2 linked regions of the Saccharomyces cerevisiae S288C genome follow. The protein of the gene in region 1 interacts with the protein of each later gene in a pairwise test. Each region holds a gene or a part of one and is shown on either strand. Other genes may lie near its edges.

Evidence for each region.
Region 2: the proteins of DHR2 (region 1) and UBP10 interact in a two-hybrid assay, tested with the Saccharomyces cerevisiae proteins (4 studies listed by BioGRID, with this or other methods).

What each region holds. Positions count from the first base shown.
Region 1 is NC_001143.9:286,898-291,712, reverse strand, and holds DHR2 (RNA helicase), read right to left. Parts: upstream 2,869-4,815; coding exon 661-2,868; downstream 1-660. Other genes in the region: PSG1 (Psg1p), read right to left, coding at 1-260; SMY1 (Smy1p), read right to left, coding at 3,140-4,815. UniProt on the Saccharomyces cerevisiae protein: Probable ATP-binding RNA helicase. Required for 18S rRNA synthesis.
Region 2 is NC_001146.8:287,668-292,376, reverse strand, and holds UBP10 (ubiquitin-specific protease UBP10), read right to left. Parts: upstream 2,880-4,709; coding exon 501-2,879; downstream 1-500. Other genes in the region: mitochondrial 54S ribosomal protein uL11m MRPL19, read left to right, coding at 1-184; SWT21 (Swt21p), read right to left, coding at 3,310-4,383. UniProt on the Saccharomyces cerevisiae protein: Deubiquitinating enzyme involved in telomere and HM loci silencing, which is the repression of chromatin structure which leads to a stop in the transcription of nearby genes.

The sequences.
Region 1 (4,815 bases):
GGCCTACCATCATGCTCTAAAGATACCCAAGGTTTCAATGGATTTGGTGTTTCTTCTGGTTTTTCAGAAAAAGTGACACCGGCAATGACCGTAGGAGTGACTAATTCTTTTTGACTTCCATAAACCGTACGTAACCAAGGTTTAACTTCTTCTGAAGTAGTCATTTTCTCCTTTGGACGAACGACTTGTCTTGCACCATGAACATGTTGATAAAGCGATGCCAAAGAAAAGAAGATAAGTATACTATCGTGAAATCTCATTATTCCGCAATTCCTTCAGATCCCGCAGAACTGCTTCCGACTATATTGTCTTAACCTTTTTGCTAAAATATTTTGTTCTTCAAAAGTAAAGAATAGCTTGCTGAGAGAAATGCGTCGAATTGCCTTTCTTATTTTTTTCATGATCTTTTATTCCTTTTCAAAATGTCAACGGCAAAATAATATAATTTCGCCCTTTTCCCGAGATAATTTCACAAAAAAAGCCAACGAACAATTCGAAAGGCGTTTAACATGAATATACATATATACCTGTGTATATTCATAAGATATTGAGAAATGAATCCATGAAACTCATACTGCAGTAGTTGTTACGATTTATAATGCTCTATAAATTACATTAAATGCCTTTATATACAATAAAAATGCGCTAAGAGTAGGTGACTTATTTTGAATCAGAAACTTTTTGCTTTGCTACAGCGGCTGCATTAGTGACAACTTCTTGTAACCATGAAAGTTCAATCCTACTAACATTTCTGGCATATCCCTTCGTAGTAAAGACATACTCCGTGTACATTATACCGGGGCAGCTTTTATTCATAAATAGCATAGATGATGGATGAATGCTTATCGGCTCTCCAGTGGAAACAGTTCTATAAGACCTGTCTGGCATCCCTATAGCTGTATTCTTGATAAACCCAGTTAAGAAACACTTTAAAATTTTCGAAATTAGCTCGCCATCTTCACCAATCTTTTTGGATTCTTCATCCTCTTCACTGATTGAAGAAAACAAACGCTTACAATAAACTCTTAACTGGTCTCTGACACGAATTACATTTTTAAACCCACGTATCGAAATACACAATCCTTTACACCAATCATTTCTTTCAGAGCTTGCATCTTGACTTTTCCCTAGTTCGTAGAAATAGATATCAAAAAGCTCTTTCAGCATGATAAGGTCACCATACCTTTTACCAGCGTTGCATAAGGACAAACGACGCTCGTTCACCTCATCTCTTTCTTCTGGTGACGGATTCAACAGTAAATTTTCCACACTAAGGCAAGAGACGATATCAATGACCTGACTCAAACATCCGACTTCACTGGCTTTAATTAAGACACTACTTAAATGCGGTTGTAGCGGTAACAGAGCCATTTGTTGACCCCGTTTAGTTATCTTTCCACGAGTGTCAAGAGCACCCAATTCATAAAGTTCCTGAAGCCCCATTACTATAGCTTCCTTTCCAGGGTTCTCAAACCAGGTCCAGTTTAGCAGGTCATCAACACCATATCTCTTCAACATTAACACAGGAGATGTGACGTCACTTCTGGCTATTTCAGGTTCACTTTGTTTAGGTAATTTCACATAATCAGACTCACAATAAAGCCTGAAACTCTTTCCTTCACTTTCTCTACCAGCACGACCACTTCTCTGCATCGCACTTGCCTGAGAAATGGGTACGGTAAGTAGAGTGGCTAATCCCAGCTGATGTCTCCAAACTTTGACTTTTCGAAGACCAGAATCAACGACAAATTTAACACCGGATATGGTAACAGATGTTTCTGCAATATTGGTACTAAAGACGACTTTTCTCTTGAAACCCTTTATCGGAGCGAAGACCAAGGACTGTTGGACCGCGGGAAGAGCTGCATATAAAGGATAAGGAACTATTAATGGTACTGGGGCCTCATCTGAAACATACTTTGCAATTTTCTCCATTATAGTCACTGCTTTGTCAATCTCTTCTTGGCCCGGTAAAAAACATAAGATATCTCCCAGTTCTTCACCTTGGTTTATTTGTATACAACACCTGATGACAGCGTCTACTATATCATCTGTTGGCGCCTTCAAGTAGTATTGTTTGACATCAAATTTTCTTCCTTCTACAAATAAGATTGGGGCATTATTGAAGAACTCACTAAATTTTTCGGCTTGCAATGTTGCAGACATAACAATTATTCTCAAATCAGGTCTTGGCCCTTGTATCAAGGATTTTAAGAACCCCAATATCAAATCTGTAAGCACAGTTCTTTCATGCGCTTCATCGATAACGATGACGCTGTATTCTCTAAGGTCACTATTCATCATAAGTTCTCTAAGTAACATACCGTCAGTCAGATACTTAAGTCTTGTTCTTGTAGTAGTCGTATTGTCAAATCTGACAGAATAACCTACTTGTTCACCCAGTTTGCAACCATGTTCTTGAGCAACACGTGTAGCCAAATTGATGGCCGCAACACGACGGGGTTGAGTTACAGCAATCGACCCATGCTTCTTCGTATCATATAATTTTTCTAATACGAATTGCGGAATTTGTGTTGATTTACCAGAACCTGTTTCACCAATAAGGACGGTAACGGGATTGCTTTCAATATATGACATTATTTCTCGCTTGTGTTGGTAAACGGGAAGTGTTTCTCTCATTTTGAGTAAATCGCTTGCCCGACTTTTCAAAGATTTATAAGTAAGGACATTTTCCTTGTTCGAACGTTGGTCTGAAACATGGTCGCCCTCGCCTGAATCATTAAACTTTACGATTTTACTAGCTCTTTTAATCCGAGTGTTATTCGTGAATGGATGTATATTCCTCCTAACCTTTTGTTTTTTAGAAGTATGGTTTGATGCAACTCTACTATTGCTATTTGCTGCCATGATAATGTCTGCAGACTCTTGCAACCTCTTCTTGAGGAATTCTTACATATATATCATAACCTCATCTCATCTCATCGAGCAGAATTTTTTATTTTCAATTTTTCTCATTTTTCCAAATCATTGTAAACGAATAGCCGCCGAAGAAAAACGGTAGAAGAAAAGTACATCTTTCAGTCAGCATTATACGTACAAATTATTAGCGTTATCATCATGATTATAATTACAAAGATACTACACAGTTGTATCGTACAATTATCGAACTTAATTATAGTCAGCTTCCAGAAGAGGGACTTTTTGGAGTACTCGAAGTGACTTTTATCGAATGGAGGTTTAATCCCTTCTTGAACGGTCTTGCCACAAAAGACTCCTGTGATCCAGTGGTTGCTATACTGCTAGAAGAAACCTTTCTCGCGCCCCATACTAAAGGTTTTGAGGAAGTATTGGCTGACCAAGGGCTATTTGATATTTCAGAACCCTCCTCGATATGCAACATAGTATTTCCTGATGACGAGCTCATAGACCCTCTTCTAGGAGATGGGATTGCAGATTTATTAAGAGAAAGCTCTTTGACAGAACTTTCCAAAGATTTTATCCTTTCACTGCGTGTTTCAGTAAGTTTAGTGTGAGTTTCTAGTTCACCCTTTAAGATGGCGTTAGTAGTTAAAAGCTCTTGAATCTCTCTTTCCTGAAGCTGAATTTGTTCTAGTAGCCTAACGTTCATAGACTCTAAGGCTTCCTCTTTTGACTTTTTGTATTCTAACTCTTGCTGCAACTTAGAATTGGAATTCATCTGTCGATCAAAAGATAACTCAAGCTGAGCAATCTGTTCGCATCTTTTCGTTAATATTTCAGAAACTTCTTCGTCAATACGATTGTTAGGATCTTCATTGGTAGAACTACTCAATAATTGGGTAATACTGTCTAATTGAAGCTTTAGTTTGATATTTTCTTTCTTTGTATTTTCTAACATTTTTTTCTCGTCGTCTTCGGGAAGAGATTTATTGTGAAGGCTTTTTAAAGAGTCTATTTCAGCCTTTAGTATATTAATTTGGGCAACATAATTATCATCCTTAATTTTCATGTCCTGAATAAATAGATCCATTTTTTTTTTCAGATTTAAACCTGTGGTGTTATCTGTAACCTTGTTATTGATCTGTCTAATACTGTCACCAAATTCTAGTGTTGATAGGGTAGTTGGAACATTACTTAAGAAACATGTCAATATCACCTTTGTTTTCCTATTTCCCCCAAGGGAATCTTTTAACACTTCAGTTAATTGCGATTCACGGTAAGCAGAACTATGTGATCCTTTTGCGCTGTAGGCTGAATCACGCTCTTTCATTGACAAGGACCGCACAGTGTTTTTCAACGCCTCAATAGATTGGTTTAATTTTTTTAACGCATCTTGTGATAGCGTACTTTCAGTTCTTTTATCGAACTTCTCTGCCCCGTGTAAATCAACCAGATATAAAGAACTATTTTTTAATATATCATCTTTTCTATTCCTTTGTTCTACGTGTAATTGAAAAACTAGGTGTGATCTTGATCTCTCTGTCTTGTCGCCACATGCCATCCTATTGCCGACGTTTTGGACTGCCTGAATGTAGCTTCTTAAGTCTTCATACGATCCGACATGTGCCGGACAAATATCTTTGATTTCTAAGTCCATTTTGCTTGAAGAACGGTGAAGCTTTAATGGTTTTCTTTCAGGTAAAGGTACCAATAAGTCATACGTTTTCTCCATATATATTTCGAATGCCAAAACACTTACGCTAAAACTATCTCCCTTTGTTTCTTCATTTTTTTCTAGCGTATCAAACAAGGTCTTGCATATGTTCGGTAGAATTCCTTCGCTTTCTTTTGATCCAATAAGGGAATAGGACTTTCCGCTGAAACTTGGTCCATATGTTATTACAGTACCGTTATAACCATTCAAAACATCATTTA
Region 2 (4,709 bases), on another chromosome or scaffold:
AATGTTAGGCAGTGCACCTGCCAAGGGACCAACCCGTGCTTTAGGAGAGTTATCGCTGAAGCACGTTTACGAAATAGCCAAGATAAAAAAGAGTGATGAAAGGCATAGTTTATTGGAGATGGAAGGTATTGTTAAATCAATAGTTGGCGTTGCAAAAAGTATGGGTATTAAGGTTGTACCTTGATCTGTAAGTAGTGAAAAGACAAAAAAGTACCGTCAATTTCGAGAAATTTTCAACAGACCTTCCTTCTTCTTTCTACTGATCTATTCTGTAAATATGTATATAAGTTTTAAATTCTCTTTCTCCCGTTATGTTAGCAAAGCTCGGTAGTACTGAAGCTATTCTGAGTAAACGCTTCTCCAACTCTGTATACTGAGAGTTGTTTTATAAGTCAATAAAGACCGGATATTTATATGTATATATTGATTTGGTATAATAAAAATGAAATGCTAATAAAAATGCCTATGAAAAGAGGAAAATCCAGGAATATCGAGTTTTTTCATTTGGTGAACTTCCTTTTTTTATTTTTTTTCCATTTTTTTCTGTTATTTTTCTTGCTATTAATCTTCAATGGGCGGTTATTTGGTTCGTTAACAGCCTGTTCCTGTTTGGATTTAGAGGTAACATTACCAGTGGCCATGGCAGATTTCGCCAATGGCAATGGAACCGATTTTGGAGTTAGCCTCGTGTATAGGAGATAATATGCGTTGGGTTCCTTTAAAACGTCCCTTTCAGATATTATATTAATATACTCGTCGTCGTAAGTGGCCCAGCTACCGTCTGGTTGCTTGCAGTGGGCAATGTAGTGACCTGAAGAAAGGGAGCGGCCCTCATGAACCACCACGCTTAATAGTTGGTATTTGACAGGTAGCTCTTTACTCTCACAATATTCCGTCAAATCTAAAAACATAGGATAAGAAACAGCTTGCTTCATTTTTGATGAGGACGTGCCATTGAATCTGAATTTTTTCAGATGCACAAGTAAAGTTTCAGGAGCCCTTAATATTGAACTATGCTTCACGGCGTTCGTGGTCTTGTGACACTTCTCACAAACGTAACCCTTTTGCTCCTTGTCAACCTTGATTAATTCGGGATTGAAGAAATCTTTAATTGATTTTTCAATAGAAAATCTGCGGTTGGCTGAACTTAAATCACTGGCAGCGGCAAATGGTGAGCCATTGTTTAAATTGACAGATGAAGAGGATGAAAGAGATGGTTTTGTGGCAGCATTGGAGGTAGTGGTAGAAGTGGTGGCTGAAGTGCCGTTAATGCTATCACTCGACAGGTCAGAATTTGGATCAAGTTTTTTCTTCCCTTTCAAGTGCAACGATAAATCGTAAAATGGTTGTTCTGTTTTAGATATACTGCCACAAGATTTGCAAGTAACGATCTGCTTTAAAAGACCACCGAATATGTCATATATTATCGATTCTATAAGTTTATGACCCTTGGGAACAGAATCTTCCTGTAATCTTGACATCAGAGACATGAAGTACTCATGTGAATCTTCCTGCTGCCATTCGCTCATCATACAATTAATGTCATCCAATCTGGAAATCAAATGTTTTGGATTAATGTAGGAAGCTGAAACGTTCTTTCTAGGGTTTTTTGAGACCGGTAACCACATTTTTTTACTTGTTTCAGCTAAAGTATAGGAAACGGAATTTTTTGAGATGGTGCTATCGTATTTCCCCATTAGTATATCAAAAAGATAATGTTGTATCGAAGGAATGTGTAACATAGCCTGTACAGCAGCATTTGTGTAACAAGTAACACCATGATTCAAAAGGCCACGAGGCTTCAAATTGGTGAATTTGTCGCCCCAATTTTTAACAATTCTAGTAGAGTTTAAAGAACCACGATCATTGATATTTTCATTGAATTGGTAAAAGTTTGATAGATTTGATATTGTAACCGGAGGGGTGATTGACCTAGATTTATGTTTCAGCTCTTCTTCCTCTTCTTCCTCCTCCTCTCCCTTTGGATTCCTGTTTCCATTTTCTTTGGTGTTGTTTACTGGTTCGTACCGATTTACTTCCACTGTACTATTTTCCATTAAATCTTGATATAAACTCTTTTTTTCGCCTTCAGAAATTTTGGAGCTGGAATCGTTCTCCTCTTCTTCAGGGAGCTCTTTTTCCATAGCACTAGAATCATAATCCATGTCATCCTCATCCTCGTCGTCTTCTATTTCGTCATCACTGCTAATGCTTGTAGACAGTTCCTTTCTTTTTTCCTTTTCATTCTCATTAGATGAATCATCAATGGTTGCTAATGGAGAACCCAAGTTTTCACCAATGTCTTCACCAATGTCTTCACCGATGTCTTCACCGATGTCTTCACCGATGTCTTCGCCGATGTCTTCACCATCGCCCTTATCTGCGTTGTCGCGTTCCTTCAAACTAGCTTTTCGGGGTTCTACATAGTCTCTTGCCTCATGAAATATTTCACCCTCTTCCTCTTCCTCTTTTCCTACTTTGTCATCTTCCGAAGAAGAGGAAGGAGGCTCCGTAGAAAGCTCCGTAGAAAGCTCCGCTGACTTCTTGGCACCAGTAGCATCTGCAGCATCTTTATCATTTTTAGAAGTATACAACAATAAAGCTTCAGCCATAGATTTAGGAACAGTGTTGGTTTTCTTTCCGTTTGGCCTGTCTATCAAGTTATTTTCTTTTATTTGCTTGGATTCGGCCGTTGCAGCAATAGCTGTGCTATTACTATTGTTATTATGCTGTTTTCCTATCACAATATACGAGCTATTTTCCGGCGCGGCGGAAGTATCATTATTATTCGATTTGTTAGAGATCATTGCAGCATTGAACTGCAGGGGATTTGATAGGATTCTATCTACCAAAGGTTTGATCGATTCTTGAGTGGTCATAGTCTGTGATTGTGATATGACAATAGGACGGATTTACAGATACTATGAGTTGTAGATTCTTTCCGTTAGTTTTTCTATGAAATATTATGTGCAGTACAGAACAAAAGAGGCTTCAGACACTATGCATGCTCCTGTGTGCAGTATATGATGCTTAATAGCTTCTATGAAACAAATAAAGGACAGAAGCGGGGATGGAAGACTCTGTTAATGCTTTACAGGGAAGTTTTTCCCGATGGTGGCACTATATAAAAATAAGAACTTTTTTCTTTTCTTTTGGGGATTTTTTTCGATGCGAAAAAAATTTTTTGACGGCATGAGGCAAGAAGTGAACAAAAGAGGTGGTGTCTGGGGGATGCAATTTAACTTCTTACTTGTGCGCGTTCATCGGAGAAAGCTGGCCGGGTGATACACGAATACGGGTTTGCCGTTTTTAGCCGCCGAACCTGCATAATGAAATTGTGCCCCCATGAGATAGGGCGAACAGTTCGGGATCCCCAGGACAATTCTTCACTACCGTGGCAGGAATAGTAGAATCAAGGTTAGTGCGCCACTCTGACTCTGGCGGGATAGACGTGATTAGTGGGTCTTCAACACTATTGTGTGAGGGAACACCTCCAAATTCCACAAGGTCTCGACCCCAGTTCAATATTGTTCCCTGCGGCGTCCCCATACTTAGTCCGTAAGCCGTATCTATATATGCCTTCAACTTTGCAGAGTTGTGGTGGATCCGAAACGGTAGGCGCAATACGTTAAGCTCGTGCTGCAGGTTTCGCCGATCGTAAATACTAATCGCGTCACTGTTGCGTCTGACAACGTACACGTAACGCCCGTTATCGCTTGTAAGGATTTGTACAATCCCACCTGCAACTGTGCGGGTGTAGTTCAGTCTCTCTAGTCGTTGATGACGGCAGTCTACCTGAAACATTTCATTCGCATAACTGCCACACAATAGAGATCCTCTTGAGAGAGCTTGCCCTCCCATTGGTTGCTCTTCAAAGCAAGATATAATGCTTTGTCTTCCCTTGCTTGCTTTTTTGGTACTCTGGTTCATCCACACGGCATCTCGTCTGCTCTTGTCGTATATCGCCACTTTGTTACGGCATGAGCCAGTGTATACACGAGACTCAACATCGATTTTCACACTGTATACAGTTTCGTATTCTCCATTTATTTTGTTCATCGTGTCATAGCTGAGGATACACTGCCCGTCCATCAAAGAGTATAGTTGTAGAGGGAAGTTTTTTCCTCCAACCACGATTCTGTCACCAGCTAACCTGTCGGAATTCTCGTTATAAAGCGTGTAAAACGGGTCTATTGCACATGAAACAATAGACTGGTTTCTAAAAAACCTTGTAAATGGTAGAAGGAGGTTTCTGTTTAGCTTGTCCGTATTACTTTCCTCCGGCACTAAATATTGTCTGATGCCAAAATCATTATGCACAGAAACAAACGATGTACCATCACATGACCAAAAGATATCTTGACATATTACCTTCTTTTCCATTCTGAAGTCGTCTGTCATATTGATATATGGTGATTCTCCTAGTCGTGGATACTCGTATCCACTTCGATCACTTTGAGTCCTTTTTAACCATTCCTTATCTTCTCTTTTCCATACATTCGCTATCGTGTCAGCCTCGAACACTTCGCCAGTGTCGCAATACGGAATTGCATTCATTCTTTCATCATTTTTTCTATTCAAGGACTCATAATGCCCTTGTACCATCTATGTTTATGGAATATGCGGTCTGTCCACCACCGATTTTTAAGTGCACGCTTTTCTTTTTTTGCTTAATTTTCAGACCGTGATAATACTCTCTTTAAAACGGA